Callithrix jacchus: one gene and its partners. The protein of the gene in region 2 interacts with the protein of the main gene of each other region in a pairwise test. Links are inferred from orthologs where the notes say so. Each region holds a gene or a part of one and is shown on either strand. Other genes may lie near its edges.

Region 1 (3,562 bases), on a different chromosome or scaffold from region 2:
TAGGAAGGCCCCATCACGGCAGAGGCACGCAAGCCAGTGCACACCGACTGGCTGAGAAGGCCCAGGTAAAATCCAGAAGCAAGGGGTGCCTGGTGCACTCATACAGACAGAGACGCATACGGACACTCCATAGTAGCGCGGGGTGCATGTGGGATGCGGCAGCAAGGACAGCCGCGTGCACAGACCTCAGGAGCACCTACACACACACAGCGGAGGGGGTAGAGCCTGCTCTTCCCTCCCCATCTGCAGAGTACCTCACGCCAGTAAACAGGACAAAACGCAGACCCCGACCGGCCCGCAGAGCAGCAGACGGAAGACGGCGAGGACGGCGCCGGCACTTACCGAGGAAAAGGCCAGCAGCAGCAAGGGAAGAGTGGAAGGGACAGTTAGTGGCTGGCTGGGTGGCAGCGGGCCAAGCTGTTTCCATATCCCTCTGGCTGTCAGGCCGGGCAGCCCTCCTTCCATCTCAGAGGATGGGGCCACTGCTGAGGTGGGCTGGGTCAGGCTGGGGCCTGCTCAGAGAGCCCCTGCTCTCGTGCCCAGGGCCATGGATATGGAAACTGGCTTCAGCCGTGCCTGCACCTCTGGCAGGCTCCCTACCTTGGATGCCAACTGAGAGACCCCACTGGACACATCATCAAAAATCTTTCCCTCCTTCACCTGCATGGGTTAAGATAGCGGCATTAGTGGGGGCGGAAGAGACTAAAGCCTAAAGCTTCTGAAATGCAGGGAGTCCCCAGGGTGAGGGCACCCGAAACAAGGGCGTGGACAGCTGTTGGGCTGAGCCCAGAAAGTTCTACACTGGCCCCAAAGTGATTCCAGCATCAAGAGACCACATCACTGCCAGGCCTGGCACCTGCAGAAGTGGCCCCCGCCAGGCACTGCTGACAAAGTGACCTGAGGACTGTCCATGCTGCCCCAGGTGTGTCCCCTGCGTGTCCCAGTCAGACCCGAGGATGGTCCATGCTTCCCCAGGTGGGTCCCCCACGTATCCCAGTCAGACCCGAGGACGGCGCGTGTCACTCCCACAACAGAGCCTCCTCTGTGCACAGCACTGGGGCCAGCTCTAGGGGGTGAGGCGGAGGAAAGGAAGGAGCTGGGGGCCTGTGAGGGAGGCCCTAGGCCAGGGGAAGAGATCAGCTGGAGGTTCCGAGAGGCACCCAGCCTGAGGAGGACACCTGTGCTAGAGACGTGGGGTGTGAGGTTGGGCCTGAGTGCCAGCTGCTGGACAAACCAACCCTGATGCCCCCAACACACCCACACCCCCAAGTGAAGGGCGCTGGGTACAAGCAGCACATCAACCCCTCGGAGCTGCCCCATTACCTTCTCCTGAGCAGGTTTGAGGACGTTCTCGTTCAGGCTATGGCCCAGCTCGGACGCCTGTAGGAAGGGAAGTCATGTGACCCTGATGGCAACTCCGCGGGGGAGACGGGTTGACAGCGGCAGCCCAGGCCAGCAAAGGGCAGCGGGAGCTTCGCCAGCAGGGGAAGGCAGCAGGGCACAAGCCCAGGAGGCAGGAAACAGGGCTTTGCACACAACCCCCAACATATAGTCAGCCTCCAACATATAGTCAGCGAAGACCGTGCCCCCAATTCTCGCAGAAGGGCCCTCAAGGACACAGGGAGCTCCCTCTGGGGGTCTCCCTCATGCGCCGCCATGCAGCCAGCGGGGCTGGGCCGGGGAGGACATGCCCCATGCACCTCAAGCAGAAGCAACAGCAGCTGTGGCCACCCCAGGCTGACCTGGGATGCCTCGTCTTCCTTCCCCCACAGGAAAGAAGGCAGGGAGGCTGGGGCCATGGAAAGAAGCTGCTGAGAAAGCTCAGCCCCTCCTGATCCCGAGTCACTTGGGGATGATGGCCACAGGGCCACCTGTGGATGTGGGGTGAGGCCTCCTCTCCCCAAGACCTCTGCGCAGGGAGAAGCGCAGATCAAAGACCATAGGGGAAGGACTCGTCACGGAGCAAAGATCCTCCTCTGCAATAAGTTCCAGGGAGGGCAGCACGGCCTGGAAACCCTGCTCAGCAGCAGCTTCATGCCCAGTGCCAGCTGCCCACACCCTCCCCCCCGCGTTCAGCGCCTCCTGGCGGCAAGCCTGGGTCAGGGTCCGTGTTTTTTGGAGACGAGGTCTCATTATTTTGCCCAGGCTGGAGTGCAGTGGTACTGGGGTGACAGGCACACACCAGCAAGCCTGACGCAGATCCTGGAGAGCCACGGCCCAAGGCCGGGAGAGGGTCTGCGCGTGCGCACATGTGAGGCAACACGAGACAGGGGCAGCACGCAGGAGGGGCGGCGGGAGCCAAGCGCATTCTCGGCGGAGACATAGACGCCATGCATAAGCAGATGCGGGCTTTACCGGCTCCGGCTGCTGCTTGTGACCCCAAAACTTTACCAGGCAGCAAGGCAACAGGTGAGGAGAGAGCAAGGTGAGGGTGGCATTAGTAACTCAGAGCACCTGCGAACCCGCCACGTGGTGCTGCATCGATAAGGCAGCACAGGGGGCGGGGGGGTGTCTCAGCAACATGACGGGGAGCCACCACTCCCTGCCCTGGACCTGACCACCACGCTCAGAAACTGCGTGACTGATTGCGGCTCAGGAGCCTGGGGGCCGTGGCAAAGCCCCTACAGCCGGGGGTGGCCACACAGAAGACTCCCTCAGAGAGAAAGGAGTGCTACAGGCCATGGGGGGACAGACGGGCACCTCGTGAGAATAGACTCCTCCCCCTGGGAGCAAGAGTGTGTCCTAAAAAAACACATACAGCAGTTTTGGCTTTCGTGGTGGGCCTCACGTGGCCACTGCCTCCTGGGTGACTCTGACCCTCAGGACAGCCAGACCGCAGCCCTGACCACCAAGTGGGGACTGTGGGGCCGCCACTCACATCCTAAAGAATACGGATATACAAAGGCCCAAGACCACACCACCTACAACCAGGGCATGTCCTGGCCAGGGCAAAGGGACGCTCCATGGCCCCCGAGTACAGACGCATCCTGGGTGCTGCCGGCACAGCACCACCCGCAACGCCCCTGCCGGCTGAGCAGCCACCGCCAGTGTAGGCCATCTGCCAAGCTGGGCAGTCCTGCTCCCAACAAGGTGCTCGGCCGCAAAGTGGCCACACACCAGCACCAGGTGCCAGTAACAGTGGAGAGTTTGGCCCCAAGGCCCTCAACAGGCCCATGAGGCAGCCACTCTGGCATGAAGAGGGGCCGAGTCAGGGAGCAACATGCTGGAAACACCCCTGCTATGCTGGGCCCTCAGCCCTGAGCACGCGGCCTGGGAAGAGGGAACCAGGCAGCTCTGGGCGCTGCACATGATGTCAGAGGCTCAGGATAGGGTGCAGAAGCTTCTCCTCTGTTACCTTCTGACTTGCTTGGGATCCAAATTTTGTAGCCTAAAACAGAAAACACAGACAGGGCTTGACAGTGTTAACACTGTAGCCTAAAATGAAACACACGGACGGAGCCAACAGCTTAACACCACCTGCCAAGCTTCCTTCCTCAGGGCCCACGGACTCTCAGTTCCAGGACTGTCTCCCAGTGGCCCCCAGGCTGCCAGCAGCTCTGAA
Region 2 (4,184 bases):
CTGATTATCCTGACCCATCAGTCATGAGCAAACACCAAAGTGACATCTGAGGTTTACCTACCTACATAGAGAACACCCTCTTTTGTCTTTCCTGCTGCTTCTGCCACACCCTGTTTGGTTTTCTCAGCAGCAGCCACAACTCCCTCCTTGGCCTTTGAAAGTCCTTTCATGAATACATCCATGGCTAATGAATTCCTTTACACCACACTGGAGAACATAAAATACACTTTGAATGAGAACTTTTTGAGGAAAAAAAAAAAACACTGAAAAATTATTAGAAACCCTCCAAAGTGTGAGACTCTTTTAAGTGTACACTCATTTAACCATTGGACAAAGCAGACATTTTTAGCTCTGGCATTAAAAATTTAGCATCTCCCATCCATCTTGGCTAGTAAAAGTCTAGCCACCTAACCATGTATTAAGATGAATCCTCTGAGTTGTTATTACTGCATTTCAGAAGTGGAGTTGCAAGAAAAGATTCACCCTTTTTCAACTTCCCAGGGTCTAAAGGGTAACAGTATGAGTTAGAAGCCTGGAAGCTGGAGCTTAAGGTCAGGGGCATCCTTAACGTGAATCCCAGAATAAGGCTACCGGGTTGATGACGGAGAAGCATGGGGAAGAGAACTAACTACTCACTCTGGGTGTGGTTGAATCTCAGGCAAACAGCGAGCCCAGGGGCGCTGGTTCTAATCCACAAGAACATTGGCCACCCCCCAACCCCTGCCCGCCCTCAGCTATCTATCCAGAGCAGGCGCCGCTCACACCCGCCGGCGGTCGGCGGTCTGGAGGCCCGCACCAGCCACCTGAGGAGGCGTTCTTAGCCTCCACCCAGCGGACCGCGAGCCTGCACTTGTTAACCCTTTACCACCTGTTGACTTGGCCTCCCTGCACTTTCATTTCATTATTTGCCAAATGCAGCTTGCTTACTTTACAGAGAAAAACCGAGAGAGCGGGCAGAGGAATTTCGGGTAAGAGAGAAATAAAAGTTGGATGCTCAGGCTCCATGGAGCATCCTCGGGTTTCCCGGGGAAAAGCGGATCCTGGGGAATGCCTGACCTCTCAGCCTTTGAGGAGAAGCAAATATCGGAAGCAGGAGGAAAGCCAGGTCCAGTCTCTTTCCTTAGGCTCCCGAAAGGGCAAGTACTCATCGCCCAGAGACCTGGCACAGCGGATCCTCACTGCAGCACCACCCCCTCCCGGCGCCCACGACCACTTCTCTCCCACCTGGCGTTCTCCGGGATTTCCAAAGACATACGTTTAGATCTACAGGTACTTACCAGAGTCCCTCTGCTTCTCCACAACTCCGATTCCTCCCCACCTCCCTTAAAAAATTTTTAAACAATTCCCAAATAATATTGAATAGGGAAGAGGGAGGGAAAGGAGCGCATAGGAAAGGCGGAGGCGGCACCGGGAGGGGGACGGTCCCCAGAGGAGGCCGCCGTCAGCACAACTCGGCGACGCTAGGCTGGGGGCGTGGGAGGCAAATCCGCTAACCTGTCGTCGAATGGCCACGCCCAGTCCCTCGCTCACGAGGATGAAGAGAAAGGGAGGCTTGAAGGGAAGGCGGGAGGGCGCGCCCAGGACGCTCTCCGCGGGGCCGGGCTGGGGTCTGCGCTGCAGCCCGCACGCACCTCACTCCCGCGTCGCGGCGCTCGGTCGCTCGCCCCCTCTCTCGGGCCCCTTCTGGTCGTCGCCGTCGTCCTCCGCCTGGTCCTCCTCCAGCTTCTCCTCGCCTCTCCGCCCCCAGCGCTGATTTGTCAGCGCCTCTCCCCGCCCTCTCTCGGCGCTCGCGGTTTCCCTGCCGCGTGCGCTGCTCCGTTCCCTTTCTCGGATGGGGATGGGGCAGGGGGCGGAGGGTGAACTATCAACTCCAGCCGCCTGCCTGACCGCGCAAATCGGGAAAGTGGGGGTGCCTTCGCGCCTTACCTCAAGTTCAGGGTCACGGGCACTCTTTTGGCGCTCGCGAGGGGTTGGGGTTGGGCTGACGCCTCTCCGTCTTTCCCATTCCCCTCTCTTCCTGTCCCCGCCTTTCCCCCCAGGTCCTCCTGGGGACCATCCCCTGCACCGCGTCAGAGTCGACCTGGGAGAGTCGGGGCCCTGAGGGTCGACCACCTAGAGCAGAGCCTATTTCTTGGGGGGCTGCTGGAGGAAACAGCAGCGCAGGAGGCTGCTCACACGGCACAGCCGAGAGCACTTTGCCCTCGTATCGCTGAAATTTACTCGCCGTCGTCCGCTATAACGTTAAAGGTCGCTTTAGTTCAAATATCCCCAAGATTTCCGTTTGCTCTTAATCTAGGACGAGCCCGAAAGGGTCCCGCAGGTGAAGCGGAGACTACTAAGGAAGAGTTACAGGTTAAGGACGCAGGAGGAGGCTCAGCAAATCCTCTTCCCACCCCACTATCACCATTTTCCTTTCCACCAATCAGCGCCTGCCAGACGCTGATTTTCCCATCAGTGGAACAAGGAATAAATATTCCCCAGCCGTCTAAAACAAGCAGTCCTAAGGCTTTTCGCTCTAGAAATGGGACTTACTTTGCAGACCCAAGCGCGTGGTCTATCTAGGAGGCAAATCCAGCGTGATCTCCACTACCCGACCATCATATACAATTTCTTCTTCAGCCCCTTCTGAAAGGAGAATGCTACACACCACTCACCTTTCTGACTTCTGATTCTCGTTGCCCTCAGAACTGACACCCCCTTTTGTCTCCCTCACCCCCAACACGCTCAAACACACAGACATACAAACGCGAACTTCAAGACAATTTTTGCATCGCTTAACACATTTTCACCTCTTTCAGAGCTGGAAGGAAGACAGCTGTTCCTAGATCACACCAGAATGGAGAAGCAAGCTCCTCCCACTAGCAGAAAGCCTTTGCTTTCTGTGCCTGGATTCGGAAGATTAGTTAAGCCCTGGAAAAGGTGGGGGGGGGGGGGGGAAACAACTCGTTTTTGCTGTATGGTTTTGCAAAAATTGTTTTTATATTTATAGAAAGTAATGTTTTGTTTGATTCTTGCGCTCATTTTGGTTCTGAAATTTGAGTAAAATCAAATTTAAACATAAAAAACAACTTTAAAACCACAAGGAACAGGAAGCAAATGATTATACATAAAAGACATATAGAAGATAATGCATATGTGTTCAGTGGAAAATAGCAGAGCATGAAAGCAAGATTATAGATATTTATTACTTAAGCACTTCCTTGAACTCTTGGTCTGCCCTTTGGAAAAGCAGACTTTCCATAATGCAGTAGCTCACATTAATATTGTGTGTTTGCCTACCACCACAGCAAAAAGGTTGGATTTGGGAGCTAGTATGCTGTCTGGCTTTGAGACCGTGAACAAGTTATGTTCTTCTGTTTCCAGTTTTCTTTTTTGTAAATGAAGGGGTGAACTCAGGTGACCGATCTATTCTCAACTTCTTGTTATGGGAAATATTCAAACACACGAAAGTAGACACAATGAAGGACTCCCATGTGAATATCACCCAACTTTTACATGTTTTTCAATGCATGGCTGATCATGTCTCATCCATATGTCCACTAACTTTATCAGTACAAATACTCCCTGTTTTTTGTCACCAAATTCAAGCTTTGTATATATCTTTTCAGCTGTAAACATTCAGTATGCATCCACAAAATTTAGAAACTGTTTAAAAATAACCACAATATCATTAGATAATTATTTTAAATTGCAGTATAATTTACACCTAGTGAAATGCTCAGATGTTGTGTCCCTTTAAGTCACTTTGAAAAAGCCATTCTTTAGTGTAACCCACACCATTTTGAAGATTCAGGACATTTTCATCACTCCAGACAGTTACCTTGTACCTTTCATGTGCATGTTCTCAAATTTCATAAAAATCTAATCACATAGTACGAACTTTGTTTCATATCTGTGTGACCTCTTTTACTCAGCATAATATTTGTGAGGTTCATTCATGTTGTTGCATGAATCAGTGGTTTGTTTTTTATTGCTTTTTATTGTTTCTTTGTATTACTGTTAATAGTATATGTTTTCCATTGTGCCTCCTTACAGCTAGTACGTCAATAGACTATTACAACAATTATTTAATATATTATTTCATATGACAAATTTATAGTTTAACAGTGACCTCCTTGAGACCTGGTGCTTTAAGTCAAAGAGATAAATAAAATGACAGATATTTCAGGTCTTATTAGCAGACC
Region 3 (3,562 bases), on a different chromosome or scaffold from region 2:
ACAGTGAATTGTCTTTTGGGAAAGTGGAAACAGTATCAGGAAGGTATCATATGATGAGAATAGCCAGGCTGGCTCTGGAGTCCCTTTAGAGTAGGGGGTCAGCAAGCTGTAGCCCATGGGCCAAATCTGGTCCAAGATCTAAAAATGGCTTTTACATTTTTAAATGGTTGCAAAAAATATTTTGTGACACATGAGAGCACATAAAATTCAAATTTCAGTGTCCATAAATAAAGTTTTATTGGATCACAGCCATAGTCATCTGTTTATGTGTTGCTGTTTTTGTGCTACAATAGCAGATTTGAGTAGTTGCGACAGAGACCATATGGCCCCAAAGCCTAAAACACTTACTGTTTGGAACTTTACAGAAAAGTTTGCAGATCGTGACTTAGAACATACGATTTTAGTGGCTGCAAAGTCAAGAAACTGGGACCTCTTACTAATTTGAGTGTGCTTACTACATTTGTTATCTGGTCAGGGGTGGGCAGCCTAAGGGGGCTATTTTCTTCTATTTCTAGAGAGTGGTCTGATCCAGTAAAATCCAATCAACACTCTTCTACCTTACTGCAATTCTATTTCTTTCCCCATACAGTCAAGTATTACCTATGCGTTGTATTTATATACAGCCAAGAATCTAGTTCCACAAATGGATTATGCATTCAATATCAGTATTAAATGCTGCATATCTCTTTGTGTGATATTTTTAATTCTATGTACATAAAAACCAAAGTTTCAAATTAAGAGAAAGAGCACAGCTCATCTCTATTACAGCTGACTAGATAAAAGGCTTGAACTGATGATACTAATACTGCAAATAATTTTAAACTGTAAACACAAATCTGGACTTAAAATTAGGGGAATAATGAAGGGGAGCCAGATAAAAAGTCCAAAAATAAAGCTAGTAAAGGATCAAAATAATTGAAGTACATAAGCAAAACAGGCAAAAGGTAAAATTAATTATTGAAAATATTTTAAAAGTGTAACTAACATCTTCAGTCACAAGAATGGTAGGGTGGAGACCTCAATTTATTGTGATCTAACCAAGTCAGACTAAGTAGTCAACACCACTGCAAAAGCGGTCGAATGGCTCACAGTATATCTGCTTTTAAACACAGCTTCCACATTTCCTTCCAAACCACAGAATTAATGGTTAAAAAGGATGTGGATGATTTGAATAGCTCTGCTCAATGGAGTTGTGATCCACAAACCCCCAATTTTAGGTAATGGGCTTAAAAGGATAAGTCAATTAAGGAACTTTATGTACTTTTCTTCTTCATGCAGATTTTAATCTTGTAATGCCAAATATGTCTTTCATATTCATATGAACACATTATAATGAGCCCTTCACAAAGGTTTCATTAAAAATCTAATAAATACCACCATTAGCCCTGAGTGATCTTCAAAAAGCCTCATTCACACTGGCATATGCTTTGAAAACTCTTCAGATCATATTGGCTGGCAAAAACATAGTTCATGATATTTGAGGCTTTGCTACTGCTCTTTATCTTTTGTCTTAACAAAATCAGACCCAACTGCTTTCGTTCAGGTATGAAAATGTTTCTCCAGTGAGAAGATGGCCCCAAGAAGCAGAGGCAAGATGCTCAAAATTGCTACTCCCAAGTACCATCTTCCCTACAAACTAAAACCCGTACCTCAAATAAAGCTTCTATCCGTTTTTAGCTTTAAGAACTTCGTTGCAAATGATTTTAAGATAAAAAAAAATCATCTCAGTTGAGCAAAATGATGAGCTAAATACAGAGTCGCACAATGTGCTCAAGGCTATGAGACGTCTGGTGAATTCATGTTCCTCTATTTCAACGTTTAAATGTCTATGATTCAAAGGAAAAGCTACCTATCAGTCAACAGAATAACATAAATTATTAATGAAGTTTGCTTGATTCTTACCTGTAGAATACTTTCCTTCTATCACATTGAAAGGCTGAACCCTTAGATCAAAGGTATTTATCTGAAATGCTCCAGACACTGAAACAGTCTGCTCTTTGTTGCACATATAAGAACTTCCCAGGGGGGCATCCCAGTAGCTGAGATTGTTATTTGCAATGCTGAAAACTTCAAAGAAAAGAAACAGGTTAGTGACTTCTTATCCTATCAACATCAAAAATGGGAAAGGGCCAGGTACACTGGCTCACACCTGTAATTCCAGCACTTTGGGAAAGCCATGGTTGGCAGATAGTGTGAGCCCAGGAGTTCGTGACCAGCCTGGGCAACATGGCAAAATCCTGTCACTATAAAACATACAAAGAAAAAAAATTAGCTGGGCATGATAGTGTGCACCTGTAGTCCCAGCTACTTGGAAGGCTGAGGTGGGTGGTTGGCTTGAATCTGGGATTAATCTGTGGTCGCGCCATTGCCCTCTAGCTTGAGCACAGAGCAAGACCCTGTCTCAAACAAACAAACAAAAAGTGACAGTCCTCAGGGTTTTTCAGGGAAGTATGAGAGCCTGGGGGACAAGATCAACCCACAAAAAGCAATTTTTACCATCAGTAGGTTCCCTTATCTTTCTATAGATGTTTCTATAGTCTAAAAATCAGTCCTATCCTTAATTATTATCTACCATACTTTGAAAAGATGAGATACAGGAAAAGACAGAACATCATAGTTCTAAGTTACTAATTTTAAGGTGTGACCAAGGTATACTTTTTACATAGCATCTTCTGTCTCATTAAATAAGGCACTATTTGGTAATAAGAACATTATGATTTCTAATCCTTTGGGGTAACCCACACTTTTTTTTCCCCCCAGGCCAATGCTTTGCTTACCAGAGCCATTAACCAAATTCATGCTGACATTCACTTCCTTCAGATAGAATCGGTTTTCATTTTTCTGTTTGAAAAAGAGCTTCCAGTTAATCAACATACGACAACTGTCTACAGATAACAGATACAGTTAATATCTACAGAAGAAAATCAATCTAACACTATTACACAGAAGAAGAAACCATGCATTAGAATAAACTGCAACCAAGTAAAAGAGAACTCAAAATCTAACAGAAACCCCTTTCCTCTGTATTTTGTTCCAACTTTTGGAGCAAAAGTATAGTCATGGGGATCTTGGACACTTGAAGGTTTATCCCTTATCCTCCTGTCACTTGCTGAGCCCTCACCACCTCTAGCCTGGATCACAATAACCTCTTAAGGGGGCTCCTCCAGCCTAATCCTCCCTTTTCACTGCTATTACCTTTCTGAAGTACTCATCCGATCAGCCAGTCATTCTTATCATTTCAGAGTGTGAATACTCCAGGAGCTACCAAAATGAACCACACTTCAATCCTGCCTTTACCCTGTTTGCAATCTGCCAGAGAAGCTGAGATAAACATATAAATAACCATATTACAAAAGAGAAAGTGAAAAATCATAAAAATAGGAGAGAAATCACTTCCAACTAAGGGAGGAGAAAAAGTAATGCCAGCTTACGGAAGAGGCATTTTGAACTCGGCAGGATTCTCTTAGGAAAAATGTAGGAAAAGGGATATTCAAGAGAGTAACAGCATAAATAAAGGCAGTTAGAAAATATGCATAATCACAAATTTTTATGCTAGCATTTG
Region 4 (4,058 bases), on a different chromosome or scaffold from region 2:
CCTGGCCATGCCCTAGTCTGCGGGGAGAGTGCCACACATGCAAACTTTGAAATAAAGGGAACATGATTTGGGGGAGAGAAGCCCAGGATAGGACTGAGATGCCCTGCGGGGAACAGATGGAGAGGTCTATGGGTCACTGATGCCCATCATCTCTAGGCATTATACTCATCACCCCTTTGCATGTGAACTATTGTATAAGTTAAGGGAAACACTGACCTAACTTCCTAGTCTCACAGGTTAGGGACTTAATGAACACATAGGCTATAGTTTTCTTTGCTGAGAAACTGGAACACAAGTATGGAAGAGTGGAGTCCTGGGGGTGACCAGAGTGAAAGCTGCCTGATCTTTGAAGCACAGGATTATTTTGTGAAATGAGACCAGTCAGGTCTCCTCAACTATCAACATCTCCAACAATCACCCAACACAACAGAAAGAGATACAGAAGAAGGGCTGTTGGGGATCTCTGACCAGAGGCCAAAGAAAAAGGACACACAAGGGGCTTGGTTCTTACCCAGCCGCCGTTCTCCTGGATCCAAGGCTCTAGGTGGTCATTCAGGTAAGTGGCCATCCAAGCTGCGATCCGACTCACCAATACCTGCATCTCCTTGTCTACGCTTTCCACGCACAGTGCCCCGCCGAAGGAGAAAAAGGCCACAATGCGACCCCAGTTTACCCCATCCCGGAAGAGTTCGTTCACTACCTGTTCAAAGCTCTGATACGCTGTCCCGGGGGTGATGTGGAGCTGGGATGTCAGGTCACTAAATGCCCGCCGGTACCGCAGTTCAAACTCGTCGCCTGCCTCCCTCAGTGCTTGCTTTACTGCTGCCATGGGGATCACCTCCCGGGCATCCAAACTGCTGCTGTGGCCCGTGGCTCCATTCACCACTGGGCTGTCCGCCAGGTGCCAGGATGGGTTGCCATTGATGGCACTGGGGGTCTCCATCTCCGAATCAGTCCCTTCTGGGGCCTCAGTCCTGTTCTCTTCCACATCACTAAACTGACTCCAGCTGTATCCTTTCTGGGAAAGCTTGTAGGAGAGAAAGTCAACCACCAGCTCCCGGTTGCTCTGAGACATTTTTATAATAGGGATGGGCTCAACCAGTCCATTGTCCAAAACACCTGCTCACTGAGTCTGGTCTCTGGTTAGTGATTCTCTTCTAAGATCCAAAGCCAAGATAAGATTCTGAAGAGAGAGAAAGAGCTTCAGGAAAAAAAAAAAAAATTAATATGCATGCCATTTACCCTAAACATCCCATTCTCCCTCCAGGTACCAAAACTGGTTTCTTTGTGGCTCTTAGGAAGTCTAGGTTCCAAGATACTTCAATTAAGTCAAATCGAAAACACCAAGAGTGGGCTCTGAATCTCTCACCAGCCTTTTCTACCCCAGCCACCCCCTCTTCTCCGAAATGTCTTCCTCGGAAAGTCACCCCCTGGGCAGTCCCCCGCGACTCCCCCTCCCCCGCACCACCTACATTCAAATCTGCCTTAAGCAAAGGCAGGCAGGTGCAGCCCCCGGAAGATCTTTTGTATCACAGGTCGGGAGAGGAGGTGGCGGCCGGGATGCCGGTAACTCAGCCGGCCTCGCGGCGGCTGGCAAAAAACCCAGCTCCGGCTACAGGGATCATGCGACCCGCAGGCTGGGAGCCCAGAAGGCGACACAGGAATTGCGAAGCTCAGGAACCAGCCCCCTCGCTTGCTTCCTCCTCCATCGCCGGGATCGAGGGCGGCCGCTCTGCAGCCGCGGCCTCCTGCCACCCGGGAGCCCAGCCCCCTCGCTCTTGCACGCCCCTTGGCTCTCCGCCTCCTACTGGGAGCCAGGAGAACTCTCCTGGAGGTGGCTGGTAGAATTTAGCTAGGTTTTCTTTCTTTCTTTTTTTTCTTTCCTTTTTCTATTTAAGCACCAGTCCAGGGTGAGGTGGAGACGTCCGAAACCCTGAAGGGACTTCTCAATGGGGTTCAAGGTTTCGATGAGGGACGCAGGGACGGGGAAACTGCCTCGGATCTGCGATCTGACTTCGGGAAGGCCACCGCCAGGCGTGTCCGGGAGGCTGAAGGCCGGAGACCCCCCACAAATGCCGCTGGTTTTCTTTGAATTCCCCAAAGGCCCTGAACGTGGCGGTGGGGGATTGCCGGGTCCTCCATTCCCCGCCCGGACACAATGGCTGCCGGCGCCCTGCACAAAGACGGGGTGAGGATGAGGCGCTGGGCCTCTCCTCGGGTCAGAAAGAGGGGTCGAGGCCTGCTCGACGGCCCCCACAGCTGAGACCACGTTTTCCTGGGGACAGGCCCAAAGCGGCTTCCTAGCGCCCCCAGGAGGGCTCTGGGGCCGGGGGCTGCACCTTTCCGGAGCCCAGGGTGGGCGGGCTCCGGCCTCGCGGCTTCTCGCGCTCTCTAGGCCTGGTACCCGCGGAGCCACCGCCCCGTTGCTAGGCAACCGCCCTCCCCCAGGGGCGCCCCCTAGACCTTCCTGGGAGGAGGGGTCTCACCCCCGGCGGCCCGCCCCAGTGCAGCCAATCAGCGAACCCAGCCGGCAAGGAAGCGAAACGGCGAAGGCTCCCATTGGGCGTAGCGGCTGTCACGCACAGGGGAGGCGGCGCTCTCACCTGCGAGCCCCGCGAGCCGTGGGGGACCACATCCCCCTTGGTCGGCCTGGTAACTTTTAGACGCTAGAGCTCTTCGCGGCCGAGTTCCGCGCCGCGGACCCGGGCCGGCCTACCTAGCTGCCGGCCTACCTGGCTGACTGCTCGCGCCGTCTCTCCCGAACAAGCCGGCCTCAGTTTCCCCTGAAGAGACAGGGGAACTTGCAAGCTCAGTCACTTCCGGTGCCGCGGCAACGCGCGCGAGCCCGAGACGCAAAGGGAGTGCGCGCCTAAAGTGACTGGCATCAGGACCGGGGGGAGATCGCCTCCTTGCGGTAGATCCAGGGAATCGAGAGACGCAAAGAATCATTTATAACCAGATTTTCATTTATTCATTCATTCAGTCAGTCATCAGACAATCAGGCTATTTCATCTGTCCGTCGGTTTATATATAGAAAAAGCATCGCTTTGTGGTTAAGCACTTTGTCTGGGTTCTAACTCTGCTAGTTAGGCAAGTTTCTCAATTGCTCTGTGCTTTAATGTCCTCAACTGTAAAATGGGCAATGGTACCAACCTCTCTCGTTGAGCTATTATGATTAAAATAGTTATTAATTGCAAAGTCTATAGGGCAGGCCGGGCGCGGTGGCTCATGCCTGTAATCCCAGCACTTTGGGAAGCCAAGGCAGGCGAATCACCTGAGGTCAGGAGTTCAGACCTGCCTAGCCAACGTGGTGAAACCCCAACTCTACTAAATTCCATCTCTACTAAAAATACAAAAAATTAGCCTGGTATGATGGTGAATGCTTGTAATCCCAGCTACTCGGGAGGGTGAGGCAGGAGAATCGCTTGAACACGGGAGGCAGAGGTTGCAGAGCCGAGATCGTGCTACTGCACTCCAGCCTGGGTGACAGAGCGAGACTCCGTCTGAAATAAAAAAGTCCGTAGGACAGTGTATGGCCCATAGAATAGGCTGCATAAATTCATTCGACAAATATTTAAGTTGCTGAAGATAAGAGGAACAACATGGCCCCTGTTTTCATGGAGATTTGTGCCCTAGAGTTGGAGAGAGATAGTAAACTAAGAAAATACCAGCCTGGGTAACATAGTTAGACCCCATCTCTACAAAAAAAAAAAAAAAAAAAAAAATTAGCCAGGCACGGTGGTGTGTGCTGGTTATCCCAACTATTGGGGTGGCTGAGGTAGGAGGATCACTAGAGCCTGAGAAGTCAAGGCTACAGTGAGCAGTAGAGGCTGCAATAAGCAATGATCGCCCTGTCTCAAAACACACACACACACACACACACACACACGGTAATTTTCTTTTTTTTTTTTTGAGACAGAGTTTTGCTCGTTACCCAGGCTGGAGTGCAATGGCACGATCTCGGCTCACCACAACCTCCGCCTCGTGGGTTTAGGCAATTCTCCTGCCTCACCCTCCTTAGTAGCTGGGATTAATTACAGGTACGCACCACCATGCCC

The links.
Region 1: the proteins of SNCA (region 2) and ARFGAP1 interact in binary tests that used the Homo sapiens proteins (3 or more experiments, as listed by UniProt). The link is inferred for Callithrix jacchus from reciprocal best matches to the Homo sapiens genes SNCA and ARFGAP1.
Region 3: the proteins of SNCA (region 2) and LAMP2 interact in binary tests that used the Homo sapiens proteins (3 or more experiments, as listed by UniProt). The link is inferred for Callithrix jacchus from reciprocal best matches to the Homo sapiens genes SNCA and LAMP2.
Region 4: the proteins of SNCA (region 2) and BCL2L1 interact in binary tests that used the Homo sapiens proteins (3 or more experiments, as listed by UniProt). The link is inferred for Callithrix jacchus from reciprocal best matches to the Homo sapiens genes SNCA and BCL2L1.

The regions. Positions count from the first base shown.
Region 1 is NC_133506.1:58,772,455-58,776,016, reverse strand, and holds part of ARFGAP1 (ADP-ribosylation factor GTPase-activating protein 1), read right to left. Parts: intron 3,389-3,562; coding exon 3,356-3,388; intron 2,386-3,355; coding exon 2,356-2,385; intron 1,381-2,355; coding exon 1,324-1,380; intron 661-1,323; coding exon 601-660; intron 338-600; coding exon of another isoform or gene 255-337; intron 1-254. UniProt on the Homo sapiens protein: GTPase-activating protein (GAP) for the ADP ribosylation factor 1 (ARF1). Involved in membrane trafficking and /or vesicle transport.
Region 2 is NC_133504.1:107,737,762-107,741,945, reverse strand, and holds the start of SNCA (alpha-synuclein), read right to left. Parts: upstream 2,847-4,184; 5' UTR 2,655-2,846; exon of another isoform or gene 2,533-2,654; intron 2,362-2,532; exon of another isoform or gene 1,927-2,361; intron 1,696-1,926; exon of another isoform or gene 1,278-1,695; intron 785-1,277; exon of another isoform or gene 637-784; intron 208-636; 5' UTR 183-207; coding exon 62-182; intron 1-61. UniProt on the Homo sapiens protein: Neuronal protein that plays several roles in synaptic activity such as regulation of synaptic vesicle trafficking and subsequent neurotransmitter release.
Region 3 is NC_133524.1:116,320,265-116,323,826, forward strand, and holds part of LAMP2 (lysosome-associated membrane glycoprotein 2), read right to left. Parts: intron 2,842-3,562; coding exon 2,778-2,841; intron 2,068-2,777; coding exon 1,903-2,067; intron 1-1,902. UniProt on the Homo sapiens protein: Lysosomal membrane glycoprotein which plays an important role in lysosome biogenesis, lysosomal pH regulation and autophagy.
Region 4 is NC_133506.1:7,474,937-7,478,994, reverse strand, and holds the start of BCL2L1 (bcl-2-like protein 1), read right to left. Parts: upstream 2,833-4,058; 5' UTR 2,604-2,832; intron 2,433-2,603; exon of another isoform or gene 2,340-2,432; intron 1,726-2,339; exon of another isoform or gene 1,473-1,725; intron 1,202-1,472; exon of another isoform or gene 1,184-1,201; 5' UTR 1,076-1,183; coding exon 512-1,075; intron 1-511. UniProt on the Homo sapiens protein: Potent inhibitor of cell death. Inhibits activation of caspases. Appears to regulate cell death by blocking the voltage-dependent anion channel (VDAC) by binding to it and preventing the release of the caspase activator, CYC1, from the mitochondrial membrane.